3 linked regions of the Stegostoma tigrinum genome follow. The protein of the gene in region 3 purifies or fractionates together with the protein of the main gene of each other region. This does not show direct contact. Links are inferred from orthologs where the notes say so. Each region holds a gene or a part of one and is shown on either strand. Other genes may lie near its edges. The genes, in order: brd8a, SWI/SNF complex subunit SMARCC2 and actl6a.

The links.
Region 1: the proteins of actl6a (region 3) and brd8a fractionate together in Homo sapiens (co-fractionation; 4 studies listed by BioGRID and IntAct, with this or other methods). This does not show direct contact. The link is inferred for Stegostoma tigrinum from reciprocal best matches to the Homo sapiens genes ACTL6A and BRD8.
Region 2: the proteins of actl6a (region 3) and SWI/SNF complex subunit SMARCC2 purify together in Homo sapiens (affinity purification with mass spectrometry; 8 studies listed by BioGRID and IntAct, counting the BioPlex papers as one, with this or other methods). This does not show direct contact. The link is inferred for Stegostoma tigrinum from reciprocal best matches to the Homo sapiens genes ACTL6A and SMARCC2.

Annotation. Positions count from the first base shown.
Region 1 is NC_081376.1:48,891,091-48,894,839, forward strand, and holds the start of brd8a (bromodomain-containing protein 8), read right to left. Parts: upstream 2,221-3,749; 5' UTR 2,215-2,220; coding exon 2,196-2,214; intron 1-2,195. UniProt on the Homo sapiens protein: May act as a coactivator during transcriptional activation by hormone-activated nuclear receptors (NR). Isoform 2 stimulates transcriptional activation by AR/DHTR, ESR1/NR3A1, RXRA/NR2B1 and THRB/ERBA2.
Region 2 is NC_081404.1:1,311,519-1,315,267, reverse strand, and holds the start of SWI/SNF complex subunit SMARCC2, read right to left. Parts: upstream 2,913-3,749; 5' UTR 2,887-2,912; coding exon 2,776-2,886; intron 1-2,775. UniProt on the Homo sapiens protein: Involved in transcriptional activation and repression of select genes by chromatin remodeling (alteration of DNA-nucleosome topology).
Region 3 is NC_081367.1:36,938,997-36,942,745, reverse strand, and holds the start of actl6a (actin-like protein 6A), read right to left. Parts: upstream 2,346-3,749; 5' UTR 2,206-2,345; coding exon 2,181-2,205; intron 1-2,180.

The sequences.
Region 1 (3,749 bases), on a different chromosome or scaffold from region 3:
CACCAACTCTTGCTTTTATTTCATCCACTTGTCTATTATCTACTCCTTTGCTGTGACAATGGCATTCCTTGAAGAGAAATGCAAGATTACCAACAGTATTCAGTTATCCTTTTAGATACTACCCTTCATCTATCTCCTGCTGTTCATGCTTATCAAAAGACTTGCACATTTGCAATTATTCTATTTCCATTCATTCTATTTATCACCCTTTTCATTTATGCCCTGCATTTTTTAAAATTCATTTTATTTCTCCACTGAATAATGAAACAAACATGAAACAGGCCTCCTTTTCAGTTTCACCATAATTTGCAGGACCTTTACTTTGCTTTAATACAGGGACTGGTATCAGTATAAGTGATCACTGGGCTCACCATAAAAAAAGTGACCAGGTTCTGTAATGGCAGTTAAGGAAGAACTTAACCTATATGGGGTAATTCAACATTGTTAACTAGCAAGCCACGAAGTGGCACCAGACCGTTACAGAAAAGTTATCTTGGATTCTCCAGCATCTGCGGTTCCCATTATCACAGAAAAATTAAAGTTGCTCATGAAGGTGACTGCATGTGGAGGCTGTGGGATGGGGTCCACTGATTAACACTAATCTCCACCAGAAATTAACAGAGGTCAACATTTTCAGAGAGGCCCTGGCATTTCATACCTGGCCAATGGAGGTTTTAACTTGCTGAGCAAATACTGCAGAAATGAGGTATTCAGAGCTTCTGAAGTACCCTGACACAACAGCAACAAACATCTTAAAATTCACCATTTGGCATTGGAACATCCAGGCCATGATTTCCAGTTTGCCTGTGCTCTTTAACCACCTGAATCACTGTTTGGCCACAGTTGGTACAACCTTAGTTTTTTACATGTAAAAAACTGAGGCAAAAAGCTATGGAAGCTTTAATTGGAAATAAAAGAAGAATATGCTTGAAATGTTCAGAAGGTTAGAGTTAGTTTTAAAGGTTAACTTTTTGGATTCTCTTTCCAGAGACACTGTTGGGCTAATCTGGGTGTCCCAACAACAGTAATTCCTCCAGTTATTTTCTACACAGTAGTAAGTCCTAGGCTAAGTGTATTTTAGTCACAGAGCAAGGGTCTATCTATAAGTATGGTGCTGCTCCACCTGGAAGGTATATTTGAGCACTTGGAGAGTAGGGAGGGAGGTGGGCGGGCAAGTGTTACATCATCTGCAGTTGCAGGGCAAGGTACCACAGAACTATAGGAGGGGTGTTAGTGAAGGGGGAGTGGACAAAGGTGTCTCAGACACCCACACTCGTAGGACATCTACGTTCTGCCCACACAAAACAAAACAAAAAGACCCTGAGCTTCCAGTTGCCTGCCACATTAACGCACCACCCTGTTCACTGGCCAACATCACTGTGTTAGACTTGCTGCAGGGTTCCAGTAAAGTTCAGAGCAAACTGGAAGAACAGTTTTGTCCATCCAAATGCACTTTCCTTTCTTTGGGCTCTATCCCAACTTATGATTTACTCCTTACACCTCTCCCCACCCTATCCTCTGCATACAAACCAACATTTTCCTAGCTGTAAAAACAAAATTGCTGGAAAAGCTCAGCAGGTCCGGCAGCTCAGTTCTGAGGAAGGGTCACCGAGCCAGAAAGGTTAACTCTGGTTTTCTCCTTCTGAGCTTTTCCAGCAACTTCTGTTTTTGCTCCTGATTTACAGCATCCGCAGTTCTTTCGGTTTTTATAAAGGCTCGGGGCAGCTAGCAACATCTATGCAGACAGAGTCAACATTTCAGATCAAGCTACTAAATATTTTCAGCATTTTCTAATAACATTATAAAAGCTTCAGGTGTTTAACATTGCGGAAGGGAAGGCAAGCCAAGAACTCAAGACTGCTCCACACTGCCCACGTTGACAGTTCTTTCATATTCGGACTCCTAAATTGAAAGCTTCTCCTCCTCATCCCGCCAATGAGCCACTCTAACATCCACGAAGCCCCTACCACCAACCTCTCACTCCGTCTCCATTCATTCCTCGCTCTCTCCGCTATTCTACCCATAGCCCTCGTCCCCATTCTTTCTCACTCTCACTTTCCTTTTCCTCCTCCTCCCTGTTCCCGTTCCCCACTTTCTCTACTCACACCTTTCCACTCTATTCCCACCTCCCTTTTTTCCCCTCCACTTCTCCGTCTCTCCCATTCCCACTCTCTCCACGTCGCCAGGTTACTCACTGCCACTACTAGCCGCCATCGTCCCATTAACCACCGCGCGCATTGACCTCTAACCCCGCCCGGAGAAAAGATTAAACCATCACTATCCCACGAGATTTTATAGAAACGCGACCGCTGATTATTAACATTATTACTGAATGTTGAATTTGAGGACATTATCGGTGTTTTCTCCTCCACTGCTAAAATAAAATAAACAAGGGTGAAAGGTCAAGGCTTCTGATGTCACATGCAGAGCACCCATTGGCTGCGCTGTAACCAGGCAACAACGCCGGACCCCGGTGAGCGAAGAGCAGGGAACCTTCTTCCTCACAACCTTCTCCCCCCTCCCCCCCGACCAAAGACCCAGACACCAGCAACACAAACTTCTCTCACCCCCCCACCAACCAAAGACCCAGACACCAGCAACACAACCTTCTCTCACCCCCCCACCAACCAAAGACCCAGACACCAGCAACACAACCTTCTCTCACCCCCCCACCAACCAAAGACCCAGACACCAGCAACACAACCTTCTCTCCCCACCCCCCCCCCAGAAACCCAGACACCAGCAACAAAACCTTCTCTCCCCACCCCCCCCCCCAGAAACCCAGACACCAGCAACAAAACCTTCTCTCCCCACCCCCCCCTCCAGAAACCCAGACAGCAGCAACACAACCTTCTCTGCCCACCCCCCCCCCCCGCAAAGTCCCAGACACCAGCATCACCACCTTCACCCCCCCAACCAAAGACCCAGACACCAGCAACACAACCTTCTCCCCCCCCAACCAAAAGACCCAGACACCAGCAACACAACCTTCTCCCCCCCCAACCAAAAGACCCAGACACCAGCAACACAACCTTCTCTCCCCGCTGCCCCCCCCCCAAAGACCCAGACTTCATCAGATGAAGGGTCTAGGGCCGAAACGTCAGCTTTTGTGCTCCTGAGATGCTGCTTGGCCTGCTGTGTTCATCCAGCTCCACACTTTGTTATCGCTGAATATAAAGTGCTGCTCCTCCATTTTCTGGGTGGTGTCATTGTCACCGTCACCTTGCTGCAGAGTTTCAGTGTTGGTCTCTGCAGATATTTTCTCATCAACCTATTCAAAGGTGTTGAGACAGAGGGGACTCAAAGCAAGGCTCCTCAATCAGAGGTAGGGCCACTGCAACACCCCACATAGAACAGAATAAAATAAGCTTCATTGTCAAATGCTCAAATGAGTAGGGAAAAGTTCATAAGTCACTATTTACAGCACCATCCTAGGTACAAAAGGTACCTCAGTACAGCTTCTTCAGTTACCAGATCTTAGAAAAATAGAGAAATTCAAAGTCCAGCATTGTGCAAATGGAAGTGCAGAACAACAACCTTCCAGCCCAGATTATCCTAGCACTGAGTGTCCAGTCTGCATTGGGCTTCACCTTGAGTTGCTGGAGAGTGGGACATTGCCCTGGAATCACCTGATACCAGGAATCTATGCTCAGGTACGCCAGACCAAGACCACCATATGCCACTGATACATTGCTACGTCACCTCCGTTCAAGCTTGAGGAATAGCACCTCGACTTCTGATTAAACACA
Region 2 (3,749 bases), on a different chromosome or scaffold from region 3:
AAAGCCACACCAGAGCAGTGGGAGACATTCAAAAGGACAATAGAGAGAGTGCTGGGCCAACATGTTCCTCTAAAGGGAAAGGTGGAACCAACATACCAAGATGTCAAGGGAAATGCAGGATTGGATAAGGGGCAAAAAGGAAGATAATAGGAGACACCAAAGGCTCAAAACTGTAGATACCTTAGAGGAACATAGGAAGTGCTGGGGGTTGCTTATGAACAAAGAAAACCAAGTGTGAAGCTGGATGAACACAGTAGGCCAAGCAGCATCTCAAGAGCACAAAAGCTGACATTTCCGGCCTAGACCCTTCATCTCTGATGAAGGTCTAGACTCGAAACGTCAGCTTTTTGCTCCTGAGATGCTGCTTGGCCTGCTGTGTTCATCCAGCTTCACACTTTGTTATCTTGGATTCTTCAGCATCTGCAGTTCCCATTATCTCTGCTTATGAATGAAATTGAGTATGAAGGGAGGACATGAAAAAACTTTGATGGGTAACATTAATGAAAATCCAAAGGCCTTTTTTAAGCTTATTAGGGCAGTCAATGGACTAGGGATGTTGCGAGACTATTGATTCAGAGATCCAGAAAATGTTCTGGGTAAGACAAAACAAAGAACTGCAGATGCTAGAAATCAGAAACCAAAACCAGACATGGCAAGGAAAAACTCAGAACTGAACAAAGGTCTCTGGACTCTAAACGTTAACTCTGCTTTCTCTCCACAGATGCTGCTGGACCTGCTGAGATTTTCTAGCAATCTGTCTTTATGATCTAGGTATCCTGGTTTGAACCTGGCCATGGGAGACAGTAGAATTTAAGTTCAATAAAAGTCTGGAATTAAGAATCTAATGATAGCCATGAAAATATTATTGATTGTCAGATAAACCGATCTGGTTCACTAATATCCTTTAGGGAAGGAAGTCTACACGTGACTCCAGGCCCACAGCAACGTGGCTGACACTTTGGTGCCCTCTAAAATGGATTAGCAAGATACTCATTTGTATCAACCACAAGAAAGCAAAATAAAGGAATGAAAACAGACAGACCACTTGGCACTGACCTAGGCACCTGAAATTGCAATGGAAAAAAACAGCCCTGTTAGCCAGACAAAAGTCCTCCTTACTAACATCTGGGGGCCAGTGCCAAGATTGGGACAGTTATCTCATAGACCAGTCAAACAACAGCCTGACATAGTCATACTCATGGAATCATACCTGACAGAAAAATTCCCAGTCACCACCATTACCATCCCTGGATATGTCCTGTCCCACAAGCACAACAGACCCAGCAGAGGTGGCTGCACAGTGGCAGTCGGAAGGGAGTTGCCCTCATGAAGTCTTACGGCATCATGTCAAAAATGGGCAATTAAAACCTGAAACTGATTACCAGACAGCATCTTCTATCCACTGATGAATCAGTGCAGTTCAACATCGTATGGAGAAAAGCTGAGAGCAGCAAGTGCGCAGAATGTACTTTGGATGAGGGATTTTAATGTCCACAACTAAGATTGATCAAGCCCTAAAGGACATGGCTGCTAGACTGGGTCTACGTCAGGTGGTGAGGGAACTGACGAGGGAAAACCATTCTTGACCTCATCCTCACCGACCTGCCTGTTGCAGACATATCTATCCATGATTCCACAACCAACAGATCAGATCCAGATCTGCAGTCCTACCACATGTAAGCATTCATTGTATTGGACAATTAAACTATTCACTGAAGGAGGCATCACCACAAACATGCTCATTCTCAACGATGGTGGAGCCCAGTACATCAGTGCAAAGGATAAGGCAGAAGCATTTACAAAAACCTTCAGCCAGAAGTGTTGACGCAGGGGAGTGAGGGGAAGATTTTGGTTTTCAAGCATCTCAACTAGCTTTTAAATGGCGGAGGGGAACGTGTTCAGGAGGATTTGATTTATGTAGTAAAGGAGCTTTTGTGTCGTAAGAAAGACTGCATTTCTCAGCGGCCGGGATTTTAAGTGAGACTTGGTTTTAAATAGGGATTGGTTTCAAGGGGCAAGCTACTTTTTAAAGCGGGAGATTGTTTTTTTAAGAAAAAGGGACTTCTTGGGGTTTTGGGAATGGAAGGGGGTTCTAGGAAGAAACGTTTTTTTTAAAAAGGGGGAATTGAGGTTTGAAGGAGAACGAAGCTTTTTAAAGGAATGGGGTGTGGTGAAGTGAGGGAGTGAAGGGCGTTTATGGAGATAGCGAGTTCATGGGGTGGTAAAAGGTGTTCGCAAGGGGAGGAGGCTTACGGCGGGGGAATTGGGGATTTCATGGAAGAAGGGATTTTTAGAAAGCTTCAAAGGGGATTAATTTAAGGGAGCAGGAGGCGTCTTCGGGATGAAGGTTTTTTTAAGGGGATTGGACATTTTAAAGTGTCGTTGAAGATTTAAGGCGAAGTTGGTTTTGAAGTAGGATTGAATTTTTTGAGAGGGAAAGGTTTCAGACGGGGCAGATATTTTTGAAATGACGAAAGCAGCTTTTAAGTAGTTATAGGGAGAGATGGGAAGGAGAATTGATCTGGAGTTTCTGAGCATGAGGCGAGGAATGGAAGCAGACCGGGCTGCCTGCAATTCGGCGTCCTCCACTTCCGACTTTCTCCGTTCCGCAGACGGAGACTTACGACCATCGGCTGGGCAACCCGACAGGAAGCTCCGAGGCCGATGTCAAGGACAGGGAAAGCCGAACTTCCACCCGCCATCAGGATACAGTCCAGGGCCCAACAAACAATTGCATCCTCACCCTTTCCGATCCACTCCACTGGCATCTCTCACCTTTTTATAATTCTTCCCTAGCCACAGGCGCACATTATCAAACTGCGACACCGTATCTGAGGCCTCGAAATATTTCACATTCGGGCCTCCGTCCTTCTTCCGCACCGCCATTTTCAACCACAAATTCACTGAGAGAAGATAGGAGCAAAGAAGCAGCAGACAGCACCACCGCCTGGCCAGAGGTGCGCCTGCAGGAGCAGACAGCACCACCTTTTCTGATGGCCGAAACGTCAGCTTTTTGCTCCTGAGATGCTGCTTGGCCTGCTGTGTTCATCCAGCTTCACACTTTATTATCTTGAATTCACCAGCATCTGCAGTTCCCATTATCTCTGAGCACCACCGTCCTGTCGGGATATGTCTTGACATACCCATTTACCACCAGGTGATAGAGATCCCCAATGCTCCCTATGTAGGAGTCCTCTCTCTTTTCCCATTGGGGAGCTGGGGTGGAGGGTGTTGCACGCAGTAGACCAGTGCAATCACCAATTACAGTGGTTTATGGACTCCAAGCCCAACTGTTTGTTTTGTGGTAATAAAATGTGAGGCTGGATGAACACAGCAGGCCCAGCAGCATCTCAGGAGCACAAAAGCTGACATTTCGGGCCTAGACCCTTCATCAGAGAGGGGGATGGGGGGAGGGAACTGGAATAAATAGGGAGAGAGGGGGAGGTGGACCGAAGATGGAGAGAAAAGAAGATAGGTGGAGAGGACAGTATAGGTGGGGAAGTAGGGAGGGGATAGGTCAGTCCAGGGAAGACGGACAGGTCAAGGAGGTGGGATGAGGTTAGTAGGTAGGAAATGGAGGTGCGGCTTGGGGTGGGAGGAAGGGATGGGTGAGAGGAAGAACAGGTTAGGGAGGCAGAGACAGGTTGGACTGGTTTTGGGATGCAGTGGGTGGAGGGGAAAAGCTGGGCTGGTTGTGTGGTGCAGTGGGGGGAGGGGACGAACTGGGCTGGTTTAGGGATGCGGTGGGG
Region 3 (3,749 bases):
ACCTCTCAACATTCGCCCAATGGCTATCTTTTGCTTTGCTTGACCTCCTAAAAATGTATCATCTCACACTTCTCTACGTTGAATACTATTTGCTACTTTTCTACCCAACTGGGCTAAAAGGCAATGGGGTCCACTGACATCTTTCTGCAGTCTAGGTATCCTCCTTGTGATCAACCACAATTGTTGTCTCGTCACAAATTTTTGATCATGTTTCCTACATTTACATTCAAATCATTTAAGTACACATACTCAAAAAATCAGGGGCATTATATTGAGCCTAGAAGAATGCCTATAACAGTCTTCCTGTTGACAGGTAATTGTGCAACTATTACCCTTCATTTCCTGCCTGTGAGCAAATTTTGCATCCAATTGGTTACATTCCACTAGATGCCACTGGCATTTATTTTGTTTACTCAGCCTGCGATTTCAGATGTTGCCAAAAGGCTTGCTTGTAGGCCACACATCAACTGCATTATCTACCTGAATCCACCTTATAGTTAAAACAGCCAAATTCAAACATGTTTATGATGCTTTTTGTTCCTCCTCTGACAGCAATGCTATGACACAGAATTGAAAAACAAGAAATGGCATCTGTGATTCTCTGAAGAATAAGCTGCAGCCCCAAAAGCAGTTTCCGGATACGGAGGTAGATGAAATAACAATTCTTGGAATGGTCTTTCATGCTCTCCACTTATTTAAAAAGCAGCATTAGAAACAAACTGAATGGAACTGATGGCAAGAAATATTGTGACTGAGAAATCAATTAAAATGCATTAATACAGTAAAAAATAACTTTTCAATCAAAAGAAATAAATTCATTGTCTATGATAATGGGGCAGCTCAATGGTTAGCACTGCTGCCTCAGTGCCAGGGACCCAGCTTCAATTCTAGCCTTAGACGACTATCTGTGTGAAGCCTGCAAATTCTCCCACCGTCTGCAAGGGTTTCCTCCCACAGTGCAAGCATGTGAACATTAGGTGGATTGGCCATGCTACATCATCCATAGTGTCCAGGAATGAGTAGGCTAACTGGATTAGCCATGGGAAATGCAGAATTACAGGGAGGGGGCATGGGGGTGGGTGCTCTTCAGACGTCAGGGTGAACTCAATGGGCCAAACAGCCGGCTTCCACACTGTAGGGATTCTACGATTGCACGAATGGAGGGCATTGAGTAGTAGCTTTAATCAAACAATTCCCACGACGTTGGGATTGCTCTCAAGAGGTTGAGCTTGTGTTCTCTGGAGTTGAGGGGAATAAAGGTGCAATTTCTTGAAACTTATAAAATTTATAACAAGAACAGAGTAGAGGTTTGCAATGGCTGTGGGAACTAGAACCGGGAGACACTGTCTCACAAAAGGCAAGCCATTTAAGACTGAGACAAGGAGAAATATCTTTGTTCAGAGGGTAGCAAATCTTTGGAAACCTCTCTCAAAGGCTGTGAAAGCCTTGTCATTGATTAAAGTCAAGAGAAAGACTGATAGATTTCTAGAGACAACATGGCATTGAGATAAGATGATCAGCACCATCTAGAATGTCACAGCACGCCCAAGGGTCTCAAAGACCCACTTCTATTTTCAGATGAGACAAAATCTCAATTAGATTTTTTAAGCTGGCACAACTACACTATGCACGACCTAGTTAGAATCAATGATTGTGTAACTTGTTATGTTTACATACCCTTTAAAATGTAATTTCCTAAGCGCAACTTAAATCCAAGATACGACACGCACAAGAACTCAATTTTAATTTGTCAAGACAGTCCCAACTTTAAACATTTGCCATTCCTTTCGCGTTCGTCATATCGTCCAACCTTAATCCTAAACCTTCATCTCAGAAATACAGAAAAGGCTAGCAATACTAGGGTCAGACTGAGTTTGCCGTCTGCAACCTAAAATCAAAAGTTTTGCATCTGGGCCTGTTTATATGAAGTAAGGAGAAGTTTTTAAGACAAAGCAATGTGAGTGAGAAATGAATGAAGCAGTGACTAAAGGGGAGCCAGTCCACGAGATGAACTAGCAAGAAGTGCAGACGCTGCAGTCAGAGATGAAACGCCTGGAAATCTCGGTCTTCGAGCCTAACTGCCTCCAACCTCACGCTGCCCTTCCCGCTCCCGCATGCGCCACTACCCCTCAAGCTGGGGCTACAGCACCGTACGCAGGGCCCCGCTGTTGCTCACTCACCTCCACCGTACACCCCGCCGCTCATGTCCGCTCCAAGCCGCTGAGAGACTGTCGCTGATGATTATGATTATGATCCACGAAGGCCTCTGCCCTCCCAACGCCGGCTCCAGACCGAAAACCCGCTCTGGGCCAACAAAGAGCAACTAATGGCCGATCCCAACCAATCCAGAGCCGAACAGGGTGGGGACACACGTCGCTGACTGTCATCGCAACCAATAGAAATAGATATCCCGCCCACATCCTACGTCAATCAAATATCAATAACCAATAGACTGGAGCGGCTTGGAAGGACAATAGAGTGGTTTTCAGATGGAACCAGCTAACAAATTTGTTTCGGGAGGGGAAAAATATACACGAAAGTTCGTGGTGTGAATGTTGAGGTCCGTCCTACCCAGAAGTCAAATAAAATTGAGTCTTACTTGCAAGAAGAAATGTTGTCTTACGGCATTCGTTGTAGGCCCAAGATAATACTGCAGAAGTGTTTGAGAAGAGTATCCTCAATTTAACCTTCATTTTGCGGGTGAAAATAGACCATTGAAATCGCGCCAGCATTCATTTAGATCGCAACTGACCTATAATTTATTTCTAGTAAAATAAAGAACTGAAATTGTTGAAGTTCTGAAACAATCACAGAAATTGCTGGAGAAACTCAACAAGTCTGGCAGCATATGTGAAGAGATTAACATTTCAAGCCCAGTGACCCTTCGTCAGATAGTTTAACTTTATCTGCCGACCACTCACTCCATAATCCTTGTAGTTAATTATCTACCAATTAATTAAAATAAGTATCAATTTCAACTTTGTAAGCTCCAAGTGTCTCAACATCCTTTGCCTTTTGGTGACAAATCCAAATATCTTGTGAAAAAATACTTCTTATCATCCCTTGAAATTTGGATCAAACATTTAGATGATACTTTCACTTTCCCAGCTGACGGAAGAATTGTTTCAATCTATCCCATCAAATTCAAAGTTTTAATCACCTCAAAGAGATCACGCCTCACATTTCTGCTCTGTGAAAACGGGTATATGGAATGTCTCCTAATAACTTAGCACTGTCTGCCAAGATATCATTCTCATGAATCTGTGCCAAATTACTTTCAAGGCCAATATTTCCTTCCTGAACAATACCCAAAGCTAAGTGCGGTGTCCTAGACAGGGTTCAAAGATCTATATAACTGAATTATTACCTCCTCTTTGTATTTAGAGCCCCCTTCAGTAAAAGGCTAAAATTCTATTAGAAATAGTGGGAACTGCCAATGTTGGAGAATCTGAGATAACAAGGTGTAGAGCTGGATGAGCACAGCAGGACAAGCAGCATCAGAGGAGCAGGAAAGCTGACATTTCAGGTCTGGACACTTTTCTTAAGAATGGCAGTTTCAGCATCGGCATTTCTGAAGAAGAGCCCAGACCCGCTCCTCTGATGCTGCTTGGCCTGCTGTGTTCATCCAGCTCTACACCTTGTTATGTCCAAATGTGTGTGTAACTCTTTGACATTGCAGCCATCTAAATAGTTTGTATTTAAAGTGAACTTCAAGACATCTGTTTCAAGAAGAACACATTTTCTCTGGT